2 linked regions of the Ovis aries genome follow. The protein of the gene in region 1 interacts with the protein of each later gene in a pairwise test. Links are inferred from orthologs where the notes say so. Each region holds a gene or a part of one and is shown on either strand. Other genes may lie near its edges. The genes, in order: LRP6 and GSK3A.

Region 1 (15,515 bases):
ATTAGAGTGCTGAGTGTTGTTTTACTTTGATGTTTCTCTGAAAGCACCTGCAAACCAGCTACAGGCCAAGCATTTGTCTTCAACAAGTATTGCTGAAAGAGGACTGTACTCTTGGACACAAGCTTCTGATGGCATCACTGAAATAACTTTGAGACTATACTGAGTCAGGATTATGAATCCATGAGACTGCTAACCCAAGATTTAGCAGAATAAGAATTAATCACTCAGGACTGAATAAACTGACACAGTGACTGTGAGTTTTAAAATACTGCTGATGCTTTAATGTCCTATTCTCTAGATATAAGGAATGTTTCTCTTTTCTCTTAAGCTACATGTAATTCAATGACAATGTAAGTAACCTACAATGCAAGTTTACTTCTGTAAATGAAAATAAGACATTTATCTTTATCTCCCTGATTCCATCATTCAAAAACAACACTCAGGTATTAACTGAGTTTTCTTATTTTCATGGCAATATAATTATTTGCATAAGTTCAATAAGAGTCTGAAACATTATTATGCAACCAAGGCTTTGACTGGATGTCATATTTGAAAGTCATGTTCCTTTAATCTAATACCACCAGACACTTTCAAGGAGCTGTGGTTGATTTAATGGAGCAATGCTTACAGTCCTCTTGGGAAAACCAGACTGGTACTTGGCTTACATAGTTCTCAGACTTAAAGGTAAAGTAAGCAAAGTTAATTTCAGGCAGGAACCCCAGGATATTCTGGGGACTTCAAGAATTCACCCAAATCTCTAAGTACTGCAAGTGAAATCCAATGGTGAGTACCTGACTTGGCTTTCTTGGCCTCAAGGGGCTTTTAAAGTTCATTCCAAGATTCCTTATTAAAAAATCCCACTGAAGCAAACTTAAAATGCCTACACCTACATAAATAATCAGACCAAACTTACAATGACTTTAGCCTACCTTGTTGTGGACTGAATGTTTGTGCCCCTCAAAATTCATATGCTGAAACCTTACACTCCCCCTCAAGTGAATGTTATCAGGAGGCAGGGCCTTGGGGAGGTCATAAGGGCGAAATCCTCATAAATGGGACCAGTACCCTTATAAGAGTCCAGGGAGAGCTCTTTTCTCTCTGCCCTGAGAGGATACAAAATGAAGTCTTAGCTGTTGCAACCTGAAGAGAGTCCTGACCAGAATCTGACCATACTGAGACCCTGCTGTTGGGCTATCAGCCTCCAGACTGTGATAAATGAAGTTCTGTTGTTTATAAGTCATCCAGTCTATAGTCTGTTAGAGCAGACTGAGTGGACTGAAACATATTCCTAAGACTGACAAATTTTGTTTTAAGCAACAGTAGGACTGACCAAGTGCTCAAAATGGCCCCTGCTTAGCCACTGACTTGGCTCGACCAAAAAGTCTAACTTTAGTCAGAATTTTCTCTTTCCTACAAGCCCCTAAAGTTTGGTTAGCCCTAAATTTAAGCAAGCTGATGTTTAGGTCCCCAACAGCTCTTTCCAGGCCATCAACCGACTCTGCAGGAAATTAGAAACTCCAGTTTCACTTTCCTCATCTTGAATCTGCTCACCATCACCCACTCAGCTCACACTCCTACAAAGTTCCTGCTAGACTGCTCACCCTTCATACAAATCTTTTTGTGTTTTATTTTGAAATGCCTGCAGATGGTGCAGTCAGAGCATTCTCCCTATTGCAATTATCTTTCTGAATAAAGTCTTTCCTTACTCAAACCTGGATTGGCTTTTACTTATCAGTAATACAACAAACCACCTACATGCAAACTCCAAAATTTAGTTCAGTTCAGTCGTGTCTGACTCTGCAATCCCATAGACCGCAGCCCGTCCGGCCTCCCTGTCCATCACCAACTAACCGGAGTTTACTCAAACTCATGCCCGTTGAGTCGGTGATGCCATCCAACCATCTCAATCCCTATCGTCCCCTTCTCCCGCCTTCAATCTTTCCCAGCATCAGGGTCTTTTCCAGTGAGTCACTTCTTAGCATCAGGTGGCCAAAGTATTGGGAGTTTCAGCTTCAGCATCAGTCCTTCCAATGAATATTCAGGACTGATTTCCTTTAGGACTGGTTGGATCTCCTTGCAGTCCAAGGGACTCTCAAGAGTCTTCTCCAACACCACAGTTCAAAAGCATCAATTCTTCAGCACTCAGCTCTCTTTATAGTCCAACTTTCACATCCATACATGACTACTGGAAAAACCATAGCTTTAACTAGACTGACCTTTGTTGGCAAAGTAATGTTTCTGCTTTTGAATATACTATCTAGGTTGGTCATAACTTTTCTTCCAAGGAGTAAGCGTCTTTTAATTTCATGGCTGCCGTCACCATCTGCAGTGATTTTGGAGCCCAAAAATAAACTCTGTCACTGTTTCCACTGTTTCCCCATCTATTTGTCATGAAGTGATGGGACCAGATGCCATGATCTTAAGTTTTCTGAATGTTGAGTTTTAAGCCAATTTTTTCACTCTCCTCTTTCACTTTCATCAAGAGGCTCTTTAGTTCTTCTTCGCTTTCTGCCATAAGGGTGGTGTCATCTGCATATCTGAAGTTATTGATATTTCTCCCGGCAATCTTGATTCCAGCTTGTGCTTCTTCCACCCCAGGGTTTCTCATGATGTACTCTGCAGATAAGTTAAATAAGCAGGGTGACAGTATACAGCCTTGACGTACTCCTTTTCCTATTTGGAACCAGTCTGTTGTCACCCTGCTTATTTAACTTATCTGCAGAGTACATCCTGAGAAACCCTGGGGTGGAAGAAGCACAAGCTGGAATCAAGATTGCTGGGCAAAAGAGCCTCTTGACCTCCAAAATTACAATGATATTTATTTTCCCCTATCAAAAGTGATTGGTATCACTTTCAAATCCATAAGGTACAGGTGAATTCAGATGCACACAGAAGGCACTGTGTGTAAAATTACTGTCCAGAGTACAAGCAATCTGGCCTTAGGTCAGTCATTCATCTTTCTAGTGTCAATTAGCAACTTAAAAATTCACTATTTTATTTTTTTGCCTAAAAGTATGATTTCACTCCACATCCCCAAGCTCCTGGCCCTTCCAAGCAAGGTATTACAGAAACAAAATTTAGCACTGAATTACTTAGTTTTCACTAAACTGAGCCCAGGCACATTTCAGAATTTTCCAATCTCTCATGTGAATGACCTAAACCTTTTGTGCGAAAAGTCACTACTGCCACAAATAACACTAACAGCTTGAGAAACAAAAGCAGGTACTAATAATAACAAATAACTGTTTTCCTTATACTTATGATGAATTATGTTTTAAATCAATAATCTCAAAGGCAAACATTCTATTCTTTAGGTTGCCTAGTCCAGGTATCTGACTAAATTTCCAAGTTATTCACAAGAAGCAGAATTCTATTCATTAAGGGGAGGCTCCTTTTACAGAAGAAATATAAAGACTCTCTCTCATATAAAGCATGAAACATACAAGGCAGGAGCTCAGTATAGTATTTACCCACCCTACAGGGAGAAGTCCATCAATCGAATGATTTTAATTATTATAAACAAATAATACAATGACAAACATTTCAATTAGAAATACTTTATTTTCTCCATAAATATGGGCAATTTTAAAATAAATATCATAACCAACTATTTATTCTTATTTATAATAATCACATAAAAGGTTCAAGTTGTAATCCCTTAAAAGGTAAGATAAATTAAGTAGATAGAGGCCGTGTTGTTTATTTAAATTAAAACAGAAAATATCGAAGTATTTCATGTAGTTCTAGTTGCAGAATAATCAAGTTCAAAACCTACTGGCCTAAAACAGTGCCCAAAACATGTTTTGTCTTTCCTGAGCATTAATATTTCTTTTAAATTAGCCATTTAACAATAGAAACTCTTCACACAAAATCTACTACTGACCATGCATTATGCTATCTATCCCTTTGCAAACAAAAAATGAGTTCTCACAGAAATCTTGGAAGATACTATCCCCATCTAATAGTAGGAACCAAAGCTAGGTAACCTGTCCAAGGGTGCCAAAGTGGTAGAAGACTTGAACTTGGTTTGTCAATAAAGCCTATAGCTTTCTGCTACAGTGCCCCTCCGTATAGTCTTCTGAGAATATGTTTGCAATAAAATTTCCATGATAAAAATCAATTTTCTCATAGTACTTACCCATGGCCTAAACATAACTATAACCTGTTTACTTATTTTTCTATTATGTTCAGTTTATAAATTCACATAGAATACTTTCCATTTATATACTCCTTCAAAGAACCTTCCTTGATACTCAAAAAAAGACTAACCTTTCTGATAGTCAGAGCATATACAATTAACTATACAGAAAAGCATTTCAGTTCAGCAAATGGAAAAATTTCAATTAAAGAAAAGAAAAATTCTCTGAAAAACTGAACCATGGGAAATTACTGTTAGGCCTGATGAAAACAATGAGCTGAAACCCAAAAGTTTCATAACCAAATTATTTCCTAGCCAGATGAGCAAATCTAAAGCCAAGTAAGTAAGCAGGGATTAAAGTATCAAATTTAATTATATGAAACTGTCATCAAATATCAATTCACATGACTCACCCTAATGCTTAAAAGGCTACCTAGCTCAGGTTCTCTCTACATGTGTTCTTGGAACACAGGTTCAGCAGAATGTTACAAAATTACAGAATTCACCAAAAAAAGTTCATTGTTGAGTTTGGGAAACAGTAGATTTTAACAAAGTTAAAACTGGTCTCTACCCTATAACCTCTCAGAGCCCTTAGTGTGTTACTATGAATTAAGAACCTGCAAAAGAAGATTCATTATCCTAATGAAGCTAATGAAGGTGTACAAAGATGAAATGACCTATCCAAGGTCACACAGCTAGCTACTGGCAAACTTAGAATGAGAATCAATTCTGATTCCCACTCCAAAATTCATTCTATCCTCCTAAGGTCTCATTATACTGGATATTAATTAATTCGCCAAGGACCACTCCTATAAAAATTTGAGATGGAAAACACTAGTGGCTTGTGCTAACAGTATTTACCACCACTGCCCCCCCCAACCCCACCAAAACAAATTAACAACAAAAGATGAGTAGCACAGGATTCTTACAAAACAACAAAGCCTTCTCAAAATATGCTGGGACACAGTATTTATAAAATTTACACACCTACGGTATTCCAAAACTTTTCAGTTCAGTCGCTCAGTCGTGTCCGACTCTTTTCAACCCCATGAATTGCAGCAAGCCAGGCCTCCCTGTCCATCACCATCTCCTGGAGTTCACTCAAACTCATGTCCATCAAGTCAGTGATGCCATCCAGCCATCTCATCCTCTGTCGTCCCCTTTCCCTCCTGCCCCCAATCCCTTCCAGCATCAAAGTCTTTTCCAATGAGTCAGCTCTTCGAATGAGGTGGCCAAAGGACTGGAGTTTGAGCTTCAGCATCATTCCCTCCAAAGAAATCCCAGGACCGATCTCCTTGCAGTCCAAGGGACTCTCAAGAGTCTTCTCCAACACCACAGTTCAAAAGTATCAATTCTCACGTGCTCAGCTTCTTCACAGTCCAACTCTCACATCCATACATGACTACTGGAAAAACCATAGCCTTGACTAGACAGACCTTTGTTGGCAAAGTAATGTCTCTGCTTTTGAATATGCTATCTAGGTTGGTCATAACTTTCCTTTTCTAGGAAATCAGAGCTATAATCTTTTCTAACCAGTAACTGGATGGAAGTTAAGGATGGCAACCTAGATGGTGAGGTCCATCAGAGCAGGGCCCATGTTGATTTTGCTTACCAATGTACCATCAGAGTCTGATACACAGTAGGTATTCCACAGCTAATCGCTGAAAGAATGAACAATAAATCCATGCTCTAATATTAATCAGCTGTAAGATTTTGATCAAGTTATAATCTCTCTGAATGTGAGTTTCCCCACTTGCAAATGAAGTGGTTAGACCAGAGGATCAAAATCTTTAAGAACTTGTGAATCTCATAGAAATTAAATCTCAAATCCCCAGCATCTGAGGATATGTCTACCATTGAAAATTGTAACAAAAAATAACATTTGCAAATCACTTTATATTCAGTATTTCATTTAATATGACCAAAAAATTTGCAAACTAGCTTGGTAATACTACCCACATTTTACATATAAAGAAACTGGAGCCCAGAGAAACTGACTAGATCAGAATCATAAGGTTATTTGGTAGTGAAGCACGGACTTTAGGAGAAGGCAATGGCAACCCACTCCAGTACTTTTGCCTGGAAAATCCCATGGACGGAGGAGCCTGGCAGGCTGGAGTCCATGGGGTCGCGAAGAGTCAGACAGGACTGAACGACTTCACTTTCACTTTTCACTTTTCTGCATTGGAGAAGGAAATGGCAACCCACTCCAGTGTTCTTGCCTAGAGAATCCCAGGGACAGGATTCCACATCTGTGGGGTCACACAGAATTGGACACAACTGAAGTGACTTAACAGCGGCAGCATGGACTTTAAACTCAAGATTTGGGTGCTGAAGTCCCCCAATCTTTCCATTACACCTTGTCCTCTGATGATAAGGATGAGGACACAGTCCAGATAATGATAGCATTATTTCCCGGCTTTCAGCTATTGATTTAACTGGGCCAGAGGACCAAAGGTCTCCCAAACTCTCCCATCATCCCATCTTCCCAATGTTAAACCTCCAACTCTTCTGTGAAGAAAAGTGATCTTAATACAACAAGTGATCTTAATACAACAAAGTAATCACTTCTCCCTGGAGTCCAAGATTAACTAATAACACAATTTTAAGAGGATGACATTATCAAGGAATGAGAAGAACCTAAATTATGAATAAAAATCTTTCACAGTAAAAATAGTTTTAGTTCAAATATATACCCATGGTTAAGTATGTTAAATTCAAAGGCCACCTTAAACCATGATTAGACTATATTTAAAATAAGAGCTTCACTTTTGGAAATTCTGTTGGTGGAAATGAAGCAATTTGCACTATTAACTTTTCTAGGTCTTCTTACATAATATCATACGTCACAATATTATTTCAAATGTAACTTCTCTTAACTCCAATAATGAATAAACTCAATTCTGGGCTCAATTCTGGTGTTAAACAAGTGGCATTTACAACATAACCTCCTCTTCCAAGAAATACAACTGGGCAACCAGAAGCATCTGGGTAATGGAATGCAATTTCACCAAGGCTTTAACCCAACAGGGGACTCTATTTGTTAATTCTATTAACCTTCTGTCTTAAAATATACCCATATTCTATGTCAAATAAAATTGTTTCTCACAACTATAGCAAAATCCCCTTCAATAGGAACTATATCATACTAAAATGAATATATAATTACTAGACCTCTCAAGTACATACCACTACATCCAATTCTCTGCCAAGAAAATAAAATAAGCACTAGCTTTCTAAAGTTTACACGTGGAAATAGTTTAGAATACGCTTACAATGAGTTGTAATTAAGTATAAGTATATAAAACAGGCAGACCTAATAATCCTGCTGTTGCGGCTGCTGTTCAGTCACTTCAGCTGTGTCTCAGTTAAATCAACAGCTCTTTTGTGACCCCCAAGGACTGTAGCTTGCCAGACTCCTTGGTCCATGGGATTTCCCAGGCAAGAACATTGGAGTGGGTTGCCATTTCCTTCTCCAGGGGATCTCCCTGAATAATCCTGAAGTGTAACTAAAGAAAAAAATTCCTCCTCCAAAACAATGTCAATCACGCTTATCCAATAAACATATACTCAGAAATGGCATATCCAGCTCATTTATAACACAAGACTGTTACTATTGTGTTCTGGAAACTAAAGTAAGTGTGCACATTGAACATAAATTTAGCCTATTAAATTAACAGCTAAAAATCTCCTTAGACCCAAGAGGTCCCATACCTGAAAAGAACTGACCGTGAACACAAGCGAGAATTGTTAACTGAAACCAAAGCTTCAAGTCATTCCATCAATTGGTACTTAAATTCCTCTGCTGGTAAATGCCCCATAGCATCAGAGTCATCACCACTTCACCACTGATGTGAGAAGAGCTGTTGAAATCTTGCAGGCCAGTCAAAAACCTCAGTGAACTGTCACAAAAAAGTCGCAGCATGTGTGACAGTTTCGCAGGCCAATCTAAAAAACAAAACCTGGGACCATTGAATTTACGCGATTCTCAGGGCAAATTACCTAGAATAGCCTATGTTATTTACCAACGTGCCACGCAGTCTCCAGGGGAGCGCAGCAGATGATAACTTAGGTCCCAGGACAGGCTCCTCTCCACCAAGGATGACTTTCCTACTTGGTGCCAACTGTACACTTGCATGCTCCGAAAATAGGGGCAAGTCCTGAATGCCAGAGGTTGCAAGGGCAACGTTTCTATTTTATTACGGGCTGGAGCCCAGGCGATTCCCCAAGGCTGAAAACACTCGACCTATAACCTCGGAGTCCCTTTCCAACTATGCTCTCACCCACGATCATTACATCCTCCACGGAAACCAGTTATTAGTTGCTACAAGGCCTGGAAAAAATAGTAAGAGGGCTCTAAAAGTTCACGGGACCCACAGGGAAAAGGTGGGGGCTTGGAGGGAGAAATCCAAGCGCTGAAGCATCTTGGGCTCCAACGTTCCGAGAGCCAAGATCCATACAAAGCCCCTCGTCCCCGGTGACTGCAGGCAGGAGACCCACCGATCTCCAGTCACTCGGACAGGATGGGGCTCCGGGGGGAGGTCACCCCGCCAGGCAGCCCGGACGAACGCTCTGTCCGGACGCGGTGGGGCAAGCGAGGCGGGGGCTGCAGCGTGGCCGGGCGGAGCGCGCAGCCCCTTCTCCCGGGCCCCTTGCTCCCTCCTTCCCCACGACCAGGCCTCTCCCAACTCCTTCCCCAGCTTCGCCTCCCCCACCCTCCCCTCCCCTCCGTAGACACAACAGAACGAGACCCCCTCCTTCCCTCCCGCAAACCCCACCAACTTTCCCGTCCCCCCGCTTTCTCTCCCACCTCTCAGGAGCACGCAGAAACTGCAGGCCAGGAGGCTCCTCAGGACGGCCCCCATCTTCCCTGCTCGCGTTCGCTTCTCTCACCGGCGAGGGGCGGCCCGAAGAGGGGGAGGCGAGGAGCCGGGGCGGCCGCCGCAGCGGCAGGTCTGCACGCTCATGCTTCCCAGCTTTCCAGAGAGAAGAAAGAAAAGGGGGCCCGTCAAGGCTCCGCGCGCGCTGCCGCCGCCGCCGCCCTCTCTACCGCGCCGCTCCGCCCGGAGCTCGCGCGACGCCAGCGTCTGCTTCCATCCCGCCGCCTCCTCCCCCGGCGCCCCGCTTCCCCCGCGCAGCTCCTCATTCAGCCTCTTCCTCTCACGCAGCGGCGCAGGGATACGCCTCCCACCGTCACGGATCGCCGCCGAGGTCTCCCTGCGCGCGGGCGAGCCCTCCCCTCCCTCGGTGCCGCCTCCCGGGCAGGTTAGAAAAGGAGAGGAAACCGTGCGCACAGCCTCGGCGAGGAGACCCCGGGAGATCTGCGGGACCAGTAGAAGCGGGCCAGAGGGGACAGGCCGCCCAGTGGCGCATTCCGAAGGGATTCTTTCCCGGGCCGGACCCTTCGGCCCTCCCCGCGGAGGGCGTGAAGCGACGTCGAACAACATCGGGAGCCGGCGTGGTCGGGACTACTTTCTGCGGCTCGGCCCGGCAGCCGCCTGCGCCGCTCTTTGTGCGGCCGCCGCCGACCGAGCCAGGTGAGGCTCCAGGTCCACGCCGGCCGCCACCTGGGCCGGGGCCAAGGTGGGCGGCAGGAGACGGCTGGCTGGGCCTGCAGAGCCGCAGGTCCACGCTCGGAGATTCACCTAGATCCCGATACGAGGCATGACTTTAGTCCCAGGGTTGGAAATCTGTTTAAGCATCTTTTTTTTTTTTTTTTAAGGAAAATGAAAACTAATATTGCTTCCATCGGCTTTCAACATGGATCTGGTGAAGGGTATTCAAACGCCAACAGAAAACTGAATTTTTTTTTTAATTTTCTCCTGGTTTCCCAGAACTACAGACTGCCCCCCCCCCCCCCCCCCCCAAGGACTAAAGGATTTCTAACCCGGCAGATAAAATTCCAAGATAAATGCGTCAGCACCTAACAAAGCAAAGGGACGGTGGGCAGAACGGTGCTAGGATTTTGCAAACTGCGTTTAGTGATGAATGTCTGGCATGTTGTGACGATCCGCTCTCAGATTGAGGAGGAAAAGATTCCTCGGAATCTCAGACTCGATTTTGCACAGCCTCTGGCCGGCTGCTCGCCGCAGCAGCCGCCTTTCACTGGGCGTTCAGGAGTAACGGCCCAGAAGCCCTTGGAATCACGTGGCAGCTTGGGGGTGGGGGGTGCGGGTGAAGCTGGGATGGCACCACTGAGAGTTAACCTAAAGGAGCCATCAGCAGCAATCCATCCACCTGTCACTCAACCTTACTGTGGGCAGGTGGCGCGGAGCTGGAGCTACTCCAGCAGTGGTACTCAATATCGTAGTAACACTGAGGTTCACCAAGTGCTGCTCACAGTCAGATTTGACACTCATAACTACCCTGGGGTAAGACAGGTTGTGTCACTTGGCATCCTCATTGCAGAAGAGGAAAATGGGAAACTAGGGGATTCAATGACTTTCCCAAGGTCACTCACGTAGACTATAGCAAGTCCTAACCTAACCCAGGTCTTCCGACCACAGATGCTCTGCTATTTCCAGGAAATGGACACCGAGCCAAGGTGATGCGTGTCTGTAAGCAGATTGTTTAGCGAATCAGTCGTGTCCGACTCTCATGGGACCCCGGAGACTGTAGGCCGCCAGGCTCCTCCGTCCATGGGATTTTCCAGGCAAGAGTACTGGAGTGGGATGCCATTGCCTTCTCTATCCAGGCAGGCTCAGTTCAGTTCAGTCGCTCAGTCGTGTAGGACTCTTTGCGACCCCATGAATGGCAGCCCGCCAGGCCTCCCTGTCCATCACCATCTCTGGGAGCTCATTCAGACTCACGTCCATCGAGTCTGTGATGCCATCCAGCCATCTCATCCTGGGTCATCCCCTTCTCCTCCTGCCCCCAATCCCTCCCAGCATCAGAGCCTTTTCCAATGAGTCAACTCTCCACATGAGGTGGCCAAAGTACTGGAGCTTCAGCTTCAGCATCATTCCTTCCAAAGAAATCCCAGGGTTGATCTCCTTCAGACTGGACTGGTTGGATCTCCTTGTAGTCCAAGGGACTCTCAAGACTCTTCTCCAACACCACAGTTCAAAAGCATCAATTCTTCGGCGCTCAGCCTTCTTCACAGTCCAACTCTCACATCCATACATGACCACAGGAAAAACCATAGCCTTGACTAGATGGACCTTAGTCGGCAAAGTAATGTCTCTGCTTTTCAATAGGTCTAGGTTGGTCATAACTTTTCTTCCAAGGAGTAAGCGTCTTTTAATTTCATGGCTGCAGTCACCATCTGCAGGGATTTTGGAGCCCAAAAAAATAGAGTCTGACACTGTTTCCACTGTTTCCCCATCTATTTCCCATGAAGTGATGGGACCAGATGCCATGATCTTCATTTTCTGAATGTTGAGCTTTAAGCCAACTTTTTCACTCTCCTCTTTCACTTTCATCAAGAGGCTTTTTAGCTCCTCTTCACTTTCTGCCATAAGGGTGGTGTCATCTGCATATCTAAAGTTACTGATATTTCTCCTGGCAGTCTTGATTCCAGCTTGTGTTTCTTCCAGTCCAGCGTTTCTCTTGATGTACTCTGCACATAAGTTAAATAAGCAGGGTGACAATATACAGCCTTGACGTACTCCTTTTCCTATTTGGAACCAGTCTGTTGTTCCATGTCCAGTTCTAACTGTTGCTTCCTGACCTGCATACAGATTTCTCAAGAGGCAGGTTAGGTGGTCTGGTATTCCTAGAAAGAGCCAAATCTTTCTCCTAAATGCACCTGTGAAAGTCTAGCCACCACTGATCTAAATTACCTTCTTCCATTAACCGTGTCAGGATTCTGCAAGTTTTGTATTCTGTCATCCTCAAAACAAATCACTAATAACCGGATTTCCACAATAACCTAGAAAACATTACCTTGAAGCTATGAGGCTGTGGAGACACCCTGATGTAGTCAGGAAGGTATGAGCTTTGGAATAAGACCAGAAGGGTCCAACCCTTTCAGTCACTAGATGTGTAACTCTGGGCATACGATTTAAGCGCACTGCACCTCAGTTTTCTCATCTGTAACATGGAGATTTTAGTTTTCAGGCTTGTGGTAGGAATTAAATTTAAAAATATATAGAAACTGGTCATTATGTAATAGGTGCTCAATAAATGACCATTTCCTTTCCCAACCCCCACAAGGCAAATGGGATCCTGGTAACTGGGAATCCTTTAGACACCATGGAAGCAAAGGGGAAAACAAATTCAGGCTCAAAATGTTTAGTCCAGGATTATTTCTAGTTGGAGGTCAATAACTGCAAAGCCAATGAAAATTAACCTTCAGGACTCCCTTCCCACTTTCACAGGCCCCTGTGAAACACAATGTGTTCACATGGTTCTATTTGCAAAAGTAAGATAATTTTGTGTTCTTTTTCTGAAAACGTCACTCAAAATTGTATAAATTTCAGGTTCACAAAACCTGGATCTATTCCTATTTATAATAGAAAACTGGGTATAACCTAAGTCTCATTTAGACTATCAACCTTAGTAGGGAGTTGAGATATTTGTAGTCCTGGAAAATAATAATTTGGAGGCTATAAAACTGTTAGAAAAATGTTTACAGTTCGCTAAGCTTGAAAACTTATAAAAATGCTTTTTTAAAAAAAACTTATTTATTTGGCTGCACCAGGTCTTAGTACAGATTGTAGGATCTTTAGTATGGCATGCAAAGTCTTAGTTGTGGCATGTGGGATCTAGTTCCTGACCAGGGATTGAACTGGGGTCCCTTGCATTGAGATCACAGAATCTCAGCCACTGGACCACCAGGGAAATCCCAAAGTGCATGTAGATTTTAATTGCTGCTGCTGCTAAGTTGCTTGAGTCGTGTCCGACTCTGTGAGACCTCATAGATGGCAGCCCACCAGGCTCTGCCGTCCCTGGGATTTCTCCAGGCAAGAACGCTTCTCCAATAGACTTTAATTACAGCTATATAAAATATAAATATATACATACATGTTTCAACATAAACATATATATATTAATATCACATGCTTGAGAAAAGATGAAAACTAAATGCACTAAAACAGTGATTAGGATAGTGTAATAATAGGAAATTTACTTTAGTTTTCTGTTCTTAAATTTGCTTTAATGTATTATTTATTTTTTGCAATTTCTTTAAAACTACTTAGGTGAAAATCAATAGCTTAAGTTCAGTCAGGTTGCTGTTCTTCTTAATAATTTGTTTCACATGCATTCAAGTGCCTATTAAAAATATTCAAGGCCAGTCTCAGTAAAGTGCTGAGCATGCAAAGATGAGATTAATCATATAGTCCCTACTGTCTAGAAGCTCACAACCTAGTTTAAAAAATCCAATTAATGAAACAAAAATAAAGTTAAAATTTATTTATAGTGCATGTTTGTACCATATCAACAAGGAACTCAAGTACACAGCACATATGGCGAACTGAACAATTTAAAGAAGGGAAAATAACCCTGCAGTTGAGTCTTGAAATTTAAGTCAGAGTTTGTCAAGCCATCACGACTGACAAGGAATTCCAAGCAGAAGGAGAGCAGGTGCAAAGGCACTGAATTATTAGAGAGAGAGCTTGGCATGTTGGGAATTTGAAAGTAGATCCATATATCTGAAGCCTAGGGCGCTTTCAGAGAATATCAGGAAATGAGGCAAGACCGTTAAGTAGGTATTGGATAATAAAGAGCTTTTAAAGTCATGCTAAGAAGTTTAGATTTTCACCTCTTGACAGTATGGATATTGAAGGATTTTTCTCATGGTGAGAATTGATTTGAATGTTAAGTAATTCCTCTGGCAGCAGTGTGGGTAACAGAAGGGAGGCAAGGCAAAAAAAAAAAAAAAAAAAGTAGGAAGACCAGTGATGAAGTTATTTTTAGTCTATGAAAGAGATGGTCAGGACAGCAGCACTCGAGTTTGAAAAGAGGTGGTGGATTTCAGGAATATGAGATCAAAACTGCAGGACTTGGTGACCTATCAGATGTGAATTGGGAGAGACAGAAGTAGACTAGGATGAATTTCCAGGTTTCTAAATTATGCATCCCAGTGAATGGCAGTCTAATTTACTAAGAAAAGAAATGCATAAGGAGCATTTCAAGAGGGACTGATGGTAAGTTCAACAATGGGCCTTTTATACTGGCAATGTTTGTAAAACACCGAGCTGCAGCTATCCAGGAGAATGTGTTGTTCTGTTTTTCTTAAATTTTTATTGGAGTGTAGTTGGTTTACATATAATGTGATGTTAGTTTCAGGTATATAGCAAAGTCAATCAGTTACACATATATGTACTCCTGTTTTAGATTCTTTTCCCATATAGGCAATTACAGAATATTGAGTAGAGTTCGCTGTGCCATACAGTAGGTTCTTATTAGTTATTTATTTCATATAGTAGTATGTATATGTCCATCCCAGTCTCCCAGTTTATCCCCCCACATACCTCCTGATAACCATAAGTTGGTTTCTACATCTATAGTTCTGTTTCTGTGTCTTTTTTTTTTTTAATAGATTCCACGTATAAGCCATCAGTTCAGTCGCTCAGCCATGCAATATCATATGATATTTGTCTTTGTCTGATTTAATTCACTCAGTATGACAATCCCTACGTCCATCCATGTTGCTGCAAATGGCATTGTTTCATTCTTTTTTTTAGGGCTTCCTAATGGCAAAGATAATAAAGAATTTTCCTGCATTGCAGGAGACCTGAGTTCAATTCTTGCCTGGAGAATTCCTGAATTCCATGGAGCCTGGTGGGCTATAGTCCATGGGGTTGCAAAGTCAGCTGAGTGATATTCCACTGTATGTATGCCCCACATCTTTATCCACTGCCCTGTTGAACATATAGGTTGTTCCCATGTCTTGGCTATTGTAAGTAGTGCTGCAGTGGACATTGGGGTGCCTGTATCTTTTCAAATTATGCTTTTCTCTGGATATATGTCCAGGAGTGGGATTGCTGGATCATTTTGTAGCTCTATTTTCAGTTCTTTGAGGAACCTCCATACTGTTCTCCATAGTGGCTGCACTAATTTACATTCCTACCAACAGTACAGGAGGGTTCCTTTTTTGCCACACCCTCCAGGAGAGCGTTTTGATATAGAAGTTTAGACTTGGGAGAGGAATGGAGAACACAGCTATCAATGGTAATTGTGGAGCGTGTACACCATACAATCCAGGGGACTTACTATAGAATGTTAAATAGTAATCAAGAAGTTATTGCCACAATTTTCTGGATAATGACTGTATGACATCTTCAGGAAGGGAAATTCTTTTCTAGTTCAGGTGAAGTCACCTTGGGGTCAATTCATTGGCAGGCTGAGTGCAGAGATGATATAGTTGAAACCATAAACTTCCCTAAGGAGAGAATAGAACATTTAGTGTGACTAGACTCCAGTGTTCTTGCCT
Region 2 (15,389 bases), on another chromosome or scaffold:
GACTTATCTGATGGCCAGCTCTTTCACCAGTCACCTGGGAATGACGGTACTTCCCTCCCTAAGTGGAAGCAGATGATGTGTGCTGCAGTGGGTAACCCAGAGGCCGCTCACCACGTGCACGGAGCTGAGGCACAGGAGGCCTGGGCCCGCCTGGGTTCACTCCACCCTGCTCCCCTGCCTGAGACGCAGCCCACTGTCCCAGCCCACCCTGCCGCAGGCCCTCCCTCACCTCTGTGAAAACAGGTGTCTAGACAGGAAGCAGGTTTTCATGCCAATAATTTATTGAACGGAGGTCTGTACACAGGCAAACCTTACTGTGAAAACTAAGACATCAGGAGCTCCCCCACTGCCCCTGCCCTCCAGGGTCGGGAGAGGAGGGAGGAGGCCTTAGGGACAGAGGACAGGAGCAGGGACACAGCTGTAGAAGGGGAAGGGGCCAGGTTGGACGGTGCGAATCGACATTTTCTTTAAGAAAAAAATTATAACAATCTATTTACACCCGGGGGGTGAGGGGGGGAAGAGGAGGAGAGGGGCTGGTCTGGTTCTATTTACAAGGGACACAGTAGGGGAGGGGGTTGGAGGAGGTGGAGACCTGGGGGGAGGGTGGGAGGCTGAGGGGGTGGAAGGTCCTCATGCCCCCCATCCCTTGTCTTTCCTTCTCTTCCCTCCCCACAACCAGTTAAAATCCTCTTAAAAAGCCCACCGCAGGGGTGAGGCTGGTGAGGGAGGGACTGGGGGGGTGGGGTGGGGACTTGTTTACCTCTGCCCTCTGGTCTAGGGGCCCAGTCAGGGCAGGAGCTTGGTGGGCTATGGCCCCCCTTCCCAGCCCCACACAGGGCTCCCAGATGGAAGGGTAGTCGGTGGCGCCCTCAGGAAGAGTTAGTGAGGGTGGCTGTGGTATCGGTCGACTGCCAGTCCGAGCTGGTCTGAGCCTCACTTAAAGCTGAGCGGGGGAAGGAGCAGATGGTTAACCTGGGCCTGTTGGACCCCCACCCCCACCCCGCCACCCCAAGGCAGGAAGCTGGTGTGAGATGCTACATTAGAAACCGAAAGCTGTCTCTTTAGGTCGAGGGTTTCAAACTCAGACGCCAAAGGGCCAGGTTGGTCACTAAGTGACTCACAAGGGAGCACAGCCCCCCTAGCACAGGGGGCAGCTGGACCTCAGCTCCAGCTGGCAGGACCGCCCTGAGCAGAGGCAGGCCCACTGCTGCCAGTCTGATTTCTTCCCCGAGAGAAACAGGAAATCTGGATCTGCACATAAAATAGATCTCACTTTTCAATGGGAGGAACAAATCTAACTGTTTGTGCAGGCCAAATGTATCTCTTTCGTTTTCCAGTCTGCATCTGAACACAAAATACAGGCGATAATGCCTTACAAAGATGGCCATTCACATGGGAAACATCCTGTCAACAATTTCTGCAGTAAACTGGGGGTGCTGTGCAAACAACTGCCCCCTCCCCCATACACTGAGAAATGCAGCTTTACTGCACAAGAGATGGTCTCCAACTTACCTTGTGAGGATGGGGTGAGGGAGGCAGTGCCCGCCGGGGACCTCAAGTGAGGAGGGATGAGGATGGCATTGAGAGATGGTTGGATGGTGAGTTCTAGAGACAGGAATGGACATGTCTAGTCAAGGGACAGGGCACCTGGCGACCCAGTCCTGGTTAGAAAGGGGCACCAGATAAGGATAGATGTAGCCACCGAACACTTTAAAACTGGAAGGAGCCTAACACGGGAGATTGCAGAGTGCAGATGAGGTGGGTTGGGGTGTCCCTGCCTCAGGGGTTTATTTCCTGAGCCCCAGGACTGCCTTGCAGCCCACCCTCAGCTCTCCGGTCTTCCACACCAAGCTCTTCACTGTCTCCGGCTGCCCCTCCAGCACCCCAGATCCCAGGCTGGGCTCTCACCACCAGGACTGAAATTGAAGAGGGGGGGGAGCGGGCGGTTGTTGGGGAGCTGGGTTCCAGGACATCGCAGTTCATCGAAGAAGCTGTGCGCGCAGGCTTCCAGCGGCGAGAGCCTCGAGGAGGGGGTGTACTCCAGCAGGCTGGAACAGAGCGCGATGGCCTCGGGCGGCGTCCGCGATTTGAACACCTGGGGGTGCAGAGGAGATGGCTGAGGCCCTGGGCACGGGAGTGCTCCTGCTTGCCCCCACAACCCCGCTTTCCAGATGAGGAAACTGACACGCAGCCTCTTGAGGGGAGGTGAGCTTGTATCAGATAAGCAACCCGCTCGGGTCCCATGACTGTTTGGCCCCTGCTGTGCTGTGAGCCCGTCTCCCCATCTGAAATCATGCCTCTGGGATTTACTGGGGGTTCTCAGCTTTAAACTTTGCCATGTGATCAAAGTCAACTGACCCCCTACTGAGCCATGACTATAGCCAGGTCCCCAGACCAGTTGGCCTCCAGTGGGGACCTCAGCCACGCTGCCTGAACCCCGAATCCTGCCCCACCTTTGTCCAGGGGTGAGCTTTAATCTGGGGGAACTTGAACTCCGTGTAGTTGGGGTTCATCTCGCGAATCTGTTCCCGGCTTGGTGTTCCCAGCACCTGTAGGGAAAGGAAGGGGTCTGAGCCAAGGTCCTTGGCCCTGAGCCCAGTCCCTGCCCGCCCTGGCCCTGCCCTCACCTTGATGATCTCCACCAGCTGGTCCACCCCACTGTCCCCAGGGAAGATGGGCTGGCCCAAGAGGAGCTCAGCCAGTACACAGCCAGCCGACCACACATCTGAAGAGGAACAGGGGAGGGTCAGAGCTACCATGCCCATCCCCGGGCAACCATTTCTATCCTTCATGATCACCCTGAGAGATGCCAAGAGCCCCATTTTCTTGGCTCAGTGAGAAAGGACCTTGCACAAGGTCACACAGTATAGGAACACAGAAGCCTGACTCTGAACCTCCAAGTCTGCCTGACTACGCTGTACTCTCCAATCTAGAGGATTCCATCGCCTCTCTCCACTCTGATCCCAGTAAGCCTTTTCTCTGCAGCCTCAGAGGACACATCAACAGGCCCAGAACAGACAGCTGTGTTCTCTGGGCCTCAGGAAGGGAAAGCATTAAATGAGCTGCCTTACTCACTTCTGGCCTCTCTCTTGCACTTGGAAATAGCCGTGGCCTGGTTAGTCACCCCTTCCAGTCCTGTACCTTGACCCCCACAGCACAAGTTCACACCTAGGGACCATGACGTTTCCTTGCAAAGCTGATGAACTTTCTCTTCCGAACACTTTCACACCCTCTCCTCATGCCTGGAAGTTGGCACTCTCACCCCCAGCAACAGGGAAGGACATCGAGGCCCTGTGAACAGGTCACACCTTCATGGTGGCAAAGCCTTTCACCTCCCGATTCCCCCAAGGTCACTGTCAGCCCCTCCTGCTGACTGAGGAGAAAGGACTTCCTGGGAGGTTCCAGGGCTCTATGGACTCTGGAGTCAGGTCTGCTTTCAAAGCCCAGCCCTGCCCAGTCCCACCTGACTGTGGGCAGGTGACCTCACCACTCTAAGCTTTAGACTTAAAGCTTAGACAGGTGACAGCGTCACCTTCCTGAATTTGTGAGGACCAGCTAAAGGAACAGTGTTACGCTTTATCACCGAGCCTGGCAGACACACAGAAGGACCTCAAAAACTGCCATGACTGCTACCCCCCCCTCCCCCCCGCCAAGTCTGACCGATGGATGAGGTGTAATCGGTGGCTCCGAAGATCAGCTCTGGGGCCCGGTAGTAGCGAGAACAGATGTAGGAGACATTGGGCTCCCCGCGGACCAACTGTTTTGCGCTGTAGGAAGATATGGGCAGGAGTCAACACAGGCCAAGGGTCGGGATCCCTCCTCGCCCCTTCAGCCACCCAGCCCACCCCAGGTGAGGCTCACCTGCCAAAATCGCAGAGCTTGAGGACAGCAGTGTCGGGATCCACCAGCAGGTTCTGGGGCTTGATGTCGCGGTGACACACGCCCTGGGAGTGGATGTAGGCCAAGCTCCGGAAGAGCTGGTACATGTACACCTGGGGTGGGCAGGGGATAGCAGAACTCCAGCCCAGCTCTCCCCGCAGAGCACACCCCTGCTCCACCATCTCGGCCTGCAGAGCCCTTCCGGGCCCACTCTCCCTGTCTTGAAAACACTTCCGCTGCCCCTTGGTTCTCAAGCTTTGGTGAGCACCAGAATCACGTGGAGGCCATGTTAAAACAAGGACTGCAGGGCCCACTCCCAGAGGTTCTGATTCGGTAGATCAGGATAAAGCTCTGCAACCAGCCCCGTAGTGCTGGTGCCGGTCCACACTTTGGAAACCACTGCTTCAAACACACACTTCGGCAGAAGCCTGATGGACAAGACAGGTACATCAGGAAGGCCTTGTTTTAAAGCAGGCTGGGGAGCCTCACCAAGGAACCCACTGGCTGTAGGAAGGGCTCAGCCTCCTTCACTCAGCAGTCAAAACCACCCTCAGGCCAGCCCCTCTCCACCTGGATTTTTCTGCTATTCTCTTTCCTACTGACTAGGACGTTAAGTGCCAAGAGCAGGGATCTCAGTGTTTCCATTGCTCCTGGGGCCCTGGGGCCCCAGGGCTTCGTCCATTGCCCGGCATGTGTAACTGCTCAGGCCCGCCTCCTGGGCACCGCCTCCTCTGTTCCCAGTGCCTGTGGCCAGAGATGCCAACTTCTTGCCCTGTGCCCAGTCTCCTCCCAGAAGCCTTCCTCAATCCTTCTCACTCCCAAAGCAGGCAGGGCTAGGGGCCTCCTCTTTGCAGAATCCCTGTGCTTCTTCCGGGTCAGCCAATGTTGGTAGTTTTATAGTTCTCTGTGATGACGCCTGTCTACCCTGCTAAACTGAGAGCTCTTCTGGAGCAGTCTGCGTCGCAGTCAGTGGGACCCCTAGAGCTGCTCAGTGCTGGGTCCAGGACACAGTCCACAGACCAGATCACCACCACCCGCCCCCCCCAGAAGGTGCAGTCCCACAGCACCCCCCTAGGCCTGGGATCCTTAAAGTCAATGGGAGGAAAGTCGGCCCATGCAACCTCCGCAAATGCGAGCCCACCCTCCTCCCGCCGTGCAGCTGGCTGCTCGGGTCCTGTCCTCCACAGCATCCCGAAGCCCGCCCACTCACCCAGTCACTCACTCAAATCCGTCCTTAGGGACAGTAACACACAGGGCACAGCACCAGGGGAATGAGCCTCCGCAGGCCATGAAGATGCCTGAGTCCCTGGTGCCATGGACACTAAGTTTCCTCCAACCCTGCCTCCTTCCCATCCCCCTCTGCCAGGGCTCCACGGGCCAGGCCTCTGACCTCATTGTGCCTCTGCATTCTAAGTCCCCACCTCGATTCTGAGCTGACCGCACCAACATCGCTTGGTGCCGGTGGGCTCCTGGGGTGGACACGAGCCGGTAACGTGCAGCCTCCCCAGCCCTGGTCAGCCTGCCTCCCTGACTGCATCAGGCCTCGGCCTGGGATGCCCTGCCTTTGGGGAGCTCCATCTCTGGGGATGTAGGGACAAGGGCAAGGCACGTGAGGCCTCTAGAGACCAACGTAAACTTGGAAATGACGGGAGAGTCTGTCTGGAGCGCCTGACTTGGTGGGTGGGACCCCCGCAGCCCGCCAGCCTGCCTACCTTGACATAGATGATAGGGATGTTCAACTTGGCCTTGGTAAAATGGCGGGCCACCCGGTACACTGTCTCGGGCACGTATTCCAGCACCAGGTTTAGGTAAAGCTCATCTTTCTGCAGAGAGCAAAGGAGAGGTGTGAGGCATCATGAGAAATGGGCAAGGAAGAGGGGGAGGAAGGTGTGGGGAATAACAAGGGAAGAGACGAGCAGCCATGAGAAAGGCAGGCAGATGGGTGGAGCCCAAGCGGAGGAGGAATCCCCACACCCAGGTCTCACCTTCTCCCCACTGGAGTAGAAAAAGTATCTCAGCCTCACGATATTGCAGTGGTCCAGCTTACGCATAATCTGCAGCTCTCGGTTCTTGGGGGGCAAGGGAAGAGAGCCTCAGTAGACAAGCCACTCTCCCCGCCTCCCCTCCCGAGCACCCCTCACCACAGCTCTACTCCCATTCCTGCCGGCAGGGCCAAGCAGCCACTCCGTGCGTTAGCTCCAAGGCCCCATATGGAGCAGCCCCTAATTCCTCACCCCTAGCTCCCCTCACACACAACTAAAGTCAGATCACTTACATGTGCTTCTTGCAGCCTACTTCTTAAAAATGTTTGATTTTTTGCTCAGATTTACAAAGCAAATGACTTCACATGTAAATCTAAGTTTTTCAGCTTCTCTTGAAAATCACATGATGTGGCCACATGAGGCCCACTTCCCTGCCTGGCAAGAGCAACACTAGACAGGGAGGGGTCATCCAGATGCCCCTAGTCCCCACGCCGCTCCATGCTTTCACGGAAGGCATCTGGGCGCTCGGATCCCGAGTCCTGGCCTCCAGGCTTCTCATCCTCACCTTCCCAGTAGAGATCCAGCCTCAGCCTCTTCCCACAAGACCAGTCTTAGCGCTCTTGCCTCTCCTGTTCCCCCCTGGGGCCTCAGAGGCCCCCATCCTCAGACTCCTCTCACTTTCGGGACTTACCTATAATCAAATTCTGACCGGCGCCCTGGAGGAAGACCTGCCCCTGAGAGTCCTCACTGCCCGAGACCTAAACTCTGACCTGGTTTCTTCAGCCCAGGCTCAGTTTCTCCTACGTCCCGACTATACAGGATCCAAAGGGCCTCTACCAGCTCACAGGGCACTATATATGAATGAGGAAAAGGACCCCTTCCTCAGGGGTGCCTGGGCCCCACACCCAGGCATCTGCAGCACAGGCGGGATTTCTCCCAGCAAGTGCCAGACCCTGGGGGCAGAGCCTGACCTTCGCAGACAGAATTAGCCCCACCAGCTTCCTTTCTCTTCTGGGTAGCAGAGTAACTCAGTGGTTAAGGTGAAGTGCTTGGGAATCAGATTCTAGACTTGACCTTGTGCAATTCTCTTATCTGAATCTCAGTTTCCAGCTTCTGCTTGCTTAGAATAGGAGTAACAACAGCACCTACCCTCAGAGAATCTTTGCGCTGTTAAACTCGCCTACAAAGCACTTACGAAGAACAAGAGCCCAATAAAAGTCAGCTCTGGGTTCTCCTGGAATCCACATCCCCACACAGCTCACTCTCTTCTCCTCTGGCCCATGCTCAGACCCCCTGTACAAACCCAAGTCCAGCACTCTTGCTGGAGTTCCCCCACCAGTCATGTGCAGTCAAACCTCCTGATCCCCGTTCCCCGCAAGCTACCTTGAACCTCTTGTCCTGGAGAACCTTCTTGATGGCCACCAATTCCCTGGTGTCTGCCAGCCGTGCCTGGTACACGACCCCAAATGAGCCACTGCCAATCACTTTGATGTCTGTGTAAGCCACCTCCTGGGAGCGCTCCGGGCCTTGGCCTAGAGTGGCTACCACTGTGGTTACCTTCCCACTGTCACCTGGGGAGCAAAGGGAACACACAATCTACTGACCTTTTCCCTCGGGCCACCACCCCATCCTGGGGCTGTGAGAGGGCAGGGAGTCTCTACAGGAAGCTTATGGGCGGGGGACGGTCTTTGTCCCTCCCCCATCTTCAAAGGTGGCTCCTAGATGTCTCCTTTCCCCCTCTTCCCTTCAGGGAACCCCAAATCCTGACTCCTCCACAGGGGAGAATACTGACACATAAAACCTCTTGCTGTGCCAGGGTTGGTAACCTCTAATTTCCACTTCTGGTGAGCAGCAAATTACTGGTCCCTCCTGATGTGAGGAGGCACCACCACTCCCAGATGTTGAATCCATCCATGATGAGAGCTAACTGCCTTCTGCTCCCTCCTCTCTAGGGAGAGCCTGACCTAACCTCTTCCACTTGAGAGCAGGAACCCTGAGGTACTTCTATGTCAGTAAAGCCCTAACCTTTCCCACAACTTGGGGGACAGTGATCTCTTAAGTCCTCCCTAAGTGCAGCTGGTAACTTCACCACTGGTTTCTGGTGACAGAAAAGGATGACTCTTCCCGTAGGGAGTGCCAGCGCCCTAACTCTCACTTTTGGGAGACAATTAGCTCTTACCCAAATACTCTGGGGCTAGAAAAAAGCACTGGCCTGACCTCACCTGTGAGGTTCAGAGCCCCAGACCCCATCGTGTATGTAACTGGTCCCTAATGGACGAACACTTAATAGTGAGAATGGTGAACCTGATCTCTATCATCAAGGGTTTATCCTAGCCTCAGTCCTTTAAAGGAAATTCCCAAAACATTCTGCGATGGCAGCAAAAGTTGGTGGCATTCTTGGAGGACAGGGATCCCTCTTCTTGCGGTAACTGGTGAAAGGTTCCCCAAAGAAAAGAAGTCAGTGATGAATCAGATCCATTCAGAGGGGCCAGTGAGGGAGAGGATCCTATATAGCTATTTATCCAGAGTCAATGACATCATACATCAGAATAATGAAATGGGTATAACTTCACATCCTTATTCTAGGGGAGGGACTGGTAACCGCCCCTGCCCCCATTGCGTTTTCTGTGAAAGGAAACCCTTCAAGAAAGACATCTTTTCTTGAATATTAGTGACTATGAACTTGGTCTGAAAGGTATGCTGACTTCCAATCTGTCCTCAAGAAGCAGGAATCATTAATTTCCACCATTGGGTGTACAATTCTACATATTATGGGCAGATAGTGTTTTAAAAGGGAATCTGGATATCAGATTTGGAAAGCCCTGGCTTTGAGGCCACAGCAAGCCCAAATCCCTGCTTCTAAGTGATACTCAAATCCCCATGCTCTAAAGGGGAGCAAATTCAGATCCCTTCTCTGGGTGGTGGTGATCTTATTCGTGTTCTCTTGAGAAACAATAACCCTTGAGCCCCATTTGCAAGCGACAATGACCCCTGATCTGTTCTCGAATGGATAGCAACATCAGATTCCTGTTTTTAAGGTTCACGGACCCAAGACTTCGGGACTGGAAGAACAAGAACCTGTGACCCTGTCTTTTGGAGGATTACTAATTCTAATTCTACACTCCAAGTGATGGCAACCCCCCCGAATCCCTCTCTCCGGGAGGGGGTAGATCTCAGATCCCAGTTTGGGAAGGCACAGTGACCTCGAGCTCCTCCCTGAGCATAAAGAAGAACCTGATCGACGTCTGAGTGGCTTCAGGGATCCGATCTCCACCCGCCACGGGCACCGCTAGTACTCACGGCCCAGCTTCACTCCGGGCGGCGGGAAGCTGGTGCCCGCGCCGGGGCCGCCGCTGCCTCCTCCGCCGCTGCCGCTGGGGCCACCCCCGGAGCTCGAGGCCCCCACGCCTCCGCCCATGGCTCCGACTGACGTCTTCCCGCCGCCGCTGCCGCCTGGGCCAGAGGCCGAACCCCCCGGGCCGCCGCCGCCGCCGCCGCCTCCGCCGCCTGGCTCCGCGAACGAGCTGGTCCGCGCCCGGCCCGAGCCCCCAGGGCCGCCGCCCGAAGGCGCGCCACCGCTCATGGCGCCGAGCGCAGGCCCAGGCCGCGGGGCTCGGGCTGCCCGGGCTGCCCCCGCCGCTGCCGCCGCCGCCGCCTCCCCCGGGCTCCGGCCTCTTCCAGGCCGCGCCGCTCGGGCTCCGGCTCCGGCCCAGCGCCCGCCGCGGGGCACGCTGGGAGATGCAGTCCGCCGGCCCTACGCGACGCCGTCGCCGCTCTAGGCCCTCACAGAGAGCCGCGTGGCACGCTGGGAAATGGAGTCCACAAAGACCTCAGAGATGGCTGCGGCGATGATGAGTCTCGCTGCACCTCGGAAAATAGAGTCCCGGGCAATAAGTTGGACAATTGCCCACAACGGACTCTGAAGCACTTTCTGAAGCAGAGTCAGAGTCGCACACTCACTCCATTGCGGCAACCGCGCGTCCCTAGGTGTGCCTCAGAAATGTAGTCTCAGGCAACTCCGTCAGTGAGCTGTATAGGTCCGATGCACTCCGGGAAACGGAGTCCAATCGCTCACTTAATTTATTGGTTGTATGTCGACTGGTGCCAAGTGCACTCTGGGAAATTGAGTCGGAGTCGGTGGACCCGCCGCTATCGGGCTGTGAGGCAAGCCGGGAAATGTAGTCGTCGCCACGCCCTCACCGCATTGCGGGTATAAAGCTACTTCCAAAGCACGCCGGGAAATGGAGTCCCATGTGATTCCTAAGCTCCAAGTGGATATTGCAGTTCCGGAGATAGGCTAGGAAATGGAGAGGCAGAGCATTCCTCCACCCTCGTTCGCTAGGCCGCAATCCCTGCTGGGAAATGTAGTCAACACCGAGGCTTCAGGGTAGTTGCTACAGCGAGCCTTGTGTCTTCTGGGAAATGGAGTTCAAGGCGGCCTTACCATTGACTGAGGGGGCGGGGTCCACCGTAATCCTGAAGCATGCTGGGGAATAGTCCAGACCGGATCCCGACCCTTTGTGAGAAGACAGCTGAGGTTTGCCGGAAAGAGCGTGAGCGAAAGGGGAAAGGCAGTCGCCTAAAAGAGACTGCGGAAAGTTTCAACGCCTCCTCTCCTGATGCCAGGTCCCAAGAAAGAGCCGAAGTCAATCAGGGACTACTGGAAAATGGAGTGCAAACACTCCCAAGTTTCCACAAATCCGGAAGGAAAACCCTCCCCGCCAACGATTTAGGAAACAAAGTTTCCGGTGGATTTTCAAGACAATACAGTCTTCGGATATTGTCTAGCTTTTCCTAACAATGTACGTTGCACCTGGAGGCTGAACTGAAGGTTGAAAAAAATGAAAACACAATTTATCTTGAACATCCCATTAAGCTCTTTGAATCCGCAGGCTTCCTAAATTACAGGATGCTGGAAGGCCCAAAAGAAGGAAGCCAGCTGCTAGGAGTAGCCTCGCGTTTTGTGCTCGCATTATGTTGCCACCACTTATCGATTAATACCCGGAAGGACGGCAGTCCAAAGCGCGCTGGGAAACGGAGTTCGTTTGAGTGTGTGTGTGTGTGTGTATACAGAGCTCGTGTGAGTGTGTGCTGGGAAATAAGAGTTCATGTGAATGTGTCGTCTGTGTGTTCCGGAAGTATTTGTAACTGAAATGAAGTCACCCTCTTCTCCTGCCTCGTGGAATGACGGGAAATGGAGTTCTAGGCTTCACTTTAATCAGATCCTGTGATCACTCTAATTGCCCTGCCCTTTGAAAAAAGTCTCGTCCAAGCTGTAGTTGAGTGCAATTCCCAGCGGACTCCTGGGGCAGGACGGATAGTAACTCTGAAGCCTTTCGTACTACATTAACCAGAAGGCAAAGCACAGTCACACTTCCGCTCTCTTCGCAATGAATTCGGCTACATCACTGCATAGTCCAGAGCGGGTGCTTCTGGGAGTTGTAGTAATCCCTCAGTCAAACAGTTCCTGCTGCCCTCTGACGGCGGCTCGGAGTCCAAAAGCAAAAATCTGACTCAAACCCCAAATCCTGGGGAATTCTAACCTGGACCAAGAAGGCTTACAAGGGCAGGAGAACAGGGCGGAATAGTGGCGGTTACTTAACGGCCAGAACCCGTGGGAAGTGCGGAGTGGGCCGCACGTGTGCAACCGCCAGAGGATATGGGGGTCCGTGGGAGTCTGAGGGAGTCAGTCTGAAGGAATCTTATCCGAATGTCTGTACGAGATGAGAACGTTTGTTGAGGGGTGCTAGAGCGGTTTGTAAGTGGCTATGAGGGACCTCTGGGTGTCTAGAGATGCTCAGAGGTGTGAAGAGGTAAAATGGTCTTCCTGGAGAGGAGTGAAGTCAGAAAGGACTTGAGGTGTCTGTAAAAGATCTGTGGGAGACTGTGAGAAACTGATGGTGACTGAGGGTATTTCTGAGGGACCTGAAGAAGTGAGGGATGGTTGAGAAGCCTAAGAAAGGAATTTCTGGGGACTGAGGGAGTGCTGGGGATTATAGGTAAGGAGAGGGTCTCTGACAATATGAATTAATTGATGGAAGTGTCTTGAGATCTATAAAGAGCTTTTACTTGGTATCAGAGATCCTGAAAGATGTGGAAGGGAGCAAGGGTATGATCTTGCAGAAACTGAATAGATTTAGATGGGCCACTTTAAAGATGAGAGGAGCTGCTGGAGTTTTCAAGACCAGAGGCCACGTGTGACATCCCACTCAGCCAGAATTTGGGGAAAGAAATCTGGCTGCGCTGTGATCTGATCTGGAGAGGGGTTCTGGAGCTGAGCACCTTTGACTCCATGGTAGATCCGGTTTAGAGGTGCTCTGAAGGCACTAGAATCAGGTGCTGAGACCACTAGTCAGGGTCCTCCCTCCTACCTCAGTGATGACATCCCCCTCTCTCCATCACACCACCACCAACTTAGCTGCATCCATGTTGCCAGGAGACACGCCTCATCCCTACTTCCAGAAATAGCCCAGTGGCCCCCACCCCAAGGGAGTGACTTACATCACCCAGGAGAGGGAGCAGTTGCCTGCAGGCCTCCACGGGAGCCTCACAGTACCCCAGCCCTGGATCCTTTCTTCACTGCCAACGGGCATCATCAGGGACCACCCACCCAGGGCTGGCTTGAAATGAGGATGAAATGAGTGGGTAGGATTTTCCAGTTCCTTCCCCCCGAGTTGCATAGGGTGGGGTTTCATGGTGAAGCCATGCAAGACCAGGGCCCTCAATTATCTTAGCAGCTGTGTGGCCTTTGGAAAATTCCTTTCCCTCTCTGGGCCTCAGGCACCTCACCTGCACTGGATGGCTTGTGCTGTCTCAAAGCACCTCCAGCTTGGATACCTCCTCCTGATTCTTTCATCTCTGATTCAAGCTCTCCAACTTGGGCTTCTGGCTTTATGACCTCTCCTCTCAGATCTTAGGAACTTGAGATCCTGGTCTAGAATCAACCATCCTGGCTTTAGAACTAAGTTGTTGAAAGAACATGTATTTCAGAGACAGACTTCATTAAAGTCCCAGCTGGGCTTAAGGCCTTAGGCAAGTCATTTAAGTGAGCCGCTAGCTCCCACCTTGGAGATAAAGAACTCCAGCTCCTAAGTACCTGGCACACAGTAGGTGAACAGCAACTGCAATTAAGCCAGTCTCTTCTTAATTTACTAGTAGAGTGCTCCCATGGGTTGATGGGAAGATCACTAAAGTGCCTTGAAAGATCTACATTGCAAGACACTGCAAGCCTGTCACCAAAGGACTACCAGATGAACTCATAAGCACCTCTAAGAGTTGATATGTGAGAGGACACCAAAGGTAGTGCAGAAGGAGCACCAGGCCTTCACCAGAGCCTGGAGGAATGAACAGTACTTCACAGAGAAGAGAGGCATTTCAGGCAGAAGAACAAGGGCCATGGCCTGGCACTGAAGAGCCGAAAAGTGCTCCCAGGAAGAGTGGATCCCCAGAGGAGGGCCAGAGAATGCCCAAGACCTTCACCACCAGGCCCAGAGGTTTAGTGCCCCCCAAGGTCAGTTCATTTCCAGGCCTGGACTTGACCCATTCAGATGGGCTTAGGCCCTCTGGCCATGGATCCACTCAGGGCCAAGGATGTGGCCCTGAGGTGGCTGCGTGCAACACTCAGATCACTGCGTCCAAAGGTCCAAAGTTTTTATTGTTTTGAATACATTCTCCAGCAGCCCCCGACTTCCCTCCCCACCCACCCTCCATCCCCAATACAGAATAAGGCTTGACCACAGACCCCCACCCCAGGGGCTCCAGCTGGGAGACAGAGGGGGCTTCCAGTTTGGTTTCAGGGCACCCCTTTCCCCACCCGCCTGCCTATGGGGCAAGTCCTAGGAGCAGCTCGGGGGTGAAGGGGTTGGACTGGCACTGGGGTGGGGACCAGGAGAGGGATAGCAGGCACTTGTAGAGATTTGTGGCCTATGGGCGGCACCCCTCACCCTCCTCCGCCCCCAACCCCCCCCAACACGGAATTTTTGGTTCATCATAAAATGTCCCTCCCTCCTCTGCTGCAACCCTGTGGGGCTATGAGAAACCCAGGCACTCACGGCCCCTGGAGGGGCGGGGAAGGCAGGACTGGGGCTGAGGACAGCCGGGGATAGACAGGGAGAGAAGTACCAGAGGCAGAGGACAGGGAGGGAGACAGGCTTTACTTCCTAAACGATTGTGATAAAAAAGTTCCTGGGCTTTGAGGCCGGAGCCTCAGTTCAAATATAAATTCCCCAGAATGGAGGTGGCCCCCTTAACTCCCCCCTCCCTCCCACCCCCACCACTTTGCCCGGAGCTTAGAAACCCACAGGGAAAGGGGATGGCCCCCCACCCTGGGCACCCACCCACCCTCATCATTAAAAAAAAAAAAAATTAAAAGTTTTATACAAAACATGGGGGACGGGAAAGAGGAGGAGGCAGAGCGAGCCTAAAAAGCTGCCCTCACCTCCAGGTAATGGGGGGGTTAAGGCAGCAAAAGAGGCATGGGGGTGGGGGGAATGGGGGTCCCCTGCCCACAGCCCTCAGGAATCTCGATGCTCCAGAGAGAGCTGGGCTGTGGCGTGCTGGAGGTCAGAACTCACCCGCCTTGGGGTGAGGGGCCCCCCAGCCTCCCCAGGCCCCTCCCCACGCACCTTCTTGTCCTCACCCTCATCCTCAAGGCCCCCAGCGGGGCCCCCACCCCCTTCGAGGCGACAGTCTTCACTCCAGCGGCGTTTAAAGCGCAGCTTGAGAGGCATGCACTGGGCAACCCCGGGCACCTCGCCCGGGTCGGGCTTTGGGGGTGCAGGCGGCACACGAGGCGTCTTGAACACCTCCCCATCTTCTTCATCCTCGTCGCTGATGTCAGTCACCTCCACCTCCTCCGACTCGCCTTCGGAGATCGGTTCCACCTTGATCTGCGGTGGCGGTGGCGGTGGCGGGGCCAGCACCCCGGCACCCTCGGCCAACCCGCCTGCACCGCCGAGGGCCAGGCTGCCGCCCTTATCAGCGCCCGCCGGGGCCTTCTCCCCAGCAGCCCGCTGCCGGCGTCCCAGGGGGGGCGGCTGGAGCTTAAACTTGAATGGAGAGGAGGAAGAGGAGGACGAGGCCGAGGAGGGGACCGGTGGGGTCTCGGGGGCCATGGGCGGCAGCGGGCACTTGTCGGGGCGCTGGGGCTGTGGCACCACCAGCCCGGGGTAGTGCAGGAAGGCGCGGGGGCTGAGGTGGTAGTTGTAGACGCTTTGGGTGTGGGCCTGCAGGTACCGTTTCATGTCCTCGGGGCTGAAGGAGAAGTGGGAGCCTCCCCCCGAGCCGCTGGGGCCCCCGCCACCACCGGGGTACATGGGGCTCAGCGTGGGGGATGGGGTGTAGGCCAGGTGGGTCGGGGTCATGGGTAGAGCCGGGGAGAGCTGCGGGGGCAGCAGGGAGCCAGGCCCGGCTAGAGGCGACACGGGGAAAGGGCTGAGGGGCTCAGGGCCACCCCGGGGCCGGGGGTAGACACGGAAGACACCAGGGTCATGGGGCAGGCGGGCCAGTGGGGGCCCACGAAAAGCACCC

Evidence for each region.
Region 2: the proteins of LRP6 (region 1) and GSK3A interact in binary tests that used the Homo sapiens proteins (3 or more experiments, as listed by UniProt). The link is inferred for Ovis aries from reciprocal best matches to the Homo sapiens genes LRP6 and GSK3A.

The regions. Positions count from the first base shown.
Region 1 is NC_056056.1:203,187,314-203,202,828, reverse strand, and holds the start of LRP6 (low-density lipoprotein receptor-related protein 6), read right to left. Parts: upstream 9,321-15,515; 5' UTR 9,115-9,320; coding exon of another isoform or gene 9,004-9,114; coding exon 8,949-9,003; intron 1-8,948. UniProt on the Homo sapiens protein: Component of the Wnt-Fzd-LRP5-LRP6 complex that triggers beta-catenin signaling through inducing aggregation of receptor-ligand complexes into ribosome-sized signalosomes.
Region 2 is NC_056067.1:50,608,221-50,623,609, reverse strand, and holds GSK3A (glycogen synthase kinase-3 alpha), read right to left. Parts: upstream 9,573-15,389; 5' UTR 9,445-9,572; coding exon 9,162-9,444; intron 7,433-9,161; coding exon 7,245-7,432; intron 5,949-7,244; coding exon 5,865-5,948; intron 5,703-5,864; coding exon 5,592-5,702; intron 3,993-5,591; coding exon 3,862-3,992; intron 3,768-3,861; coding exon 3,661-3,767; intron 2,726-3,660; coding exon 2,628-2,725; intron 2,550-2,627; coding exon 2,454-2,549; intron 2,096-2,453; coding exon 1,909-2,095; intron 1,606-1,908; coding exon 1,513-1,605; intron 944-1,512; coding exon 870-943; 3' UTR 260-869; downstream 1-259. Other genes in the region: ETS domain-containing transcription factor ERF, read right to left, coding at 14,375-15,389. UniProt on the Homo sapiens protein: Constitutively active protein kinase that acts as a negative regulator in the hormonal control of glucose homeostasis, Wnt signaling and regulation of transcription factors and microtubules, by phosphorylating and inactivating glycogen synthase (GYS1 or GYS2), CTNNB1/beta-catenin, APC and AXIN1.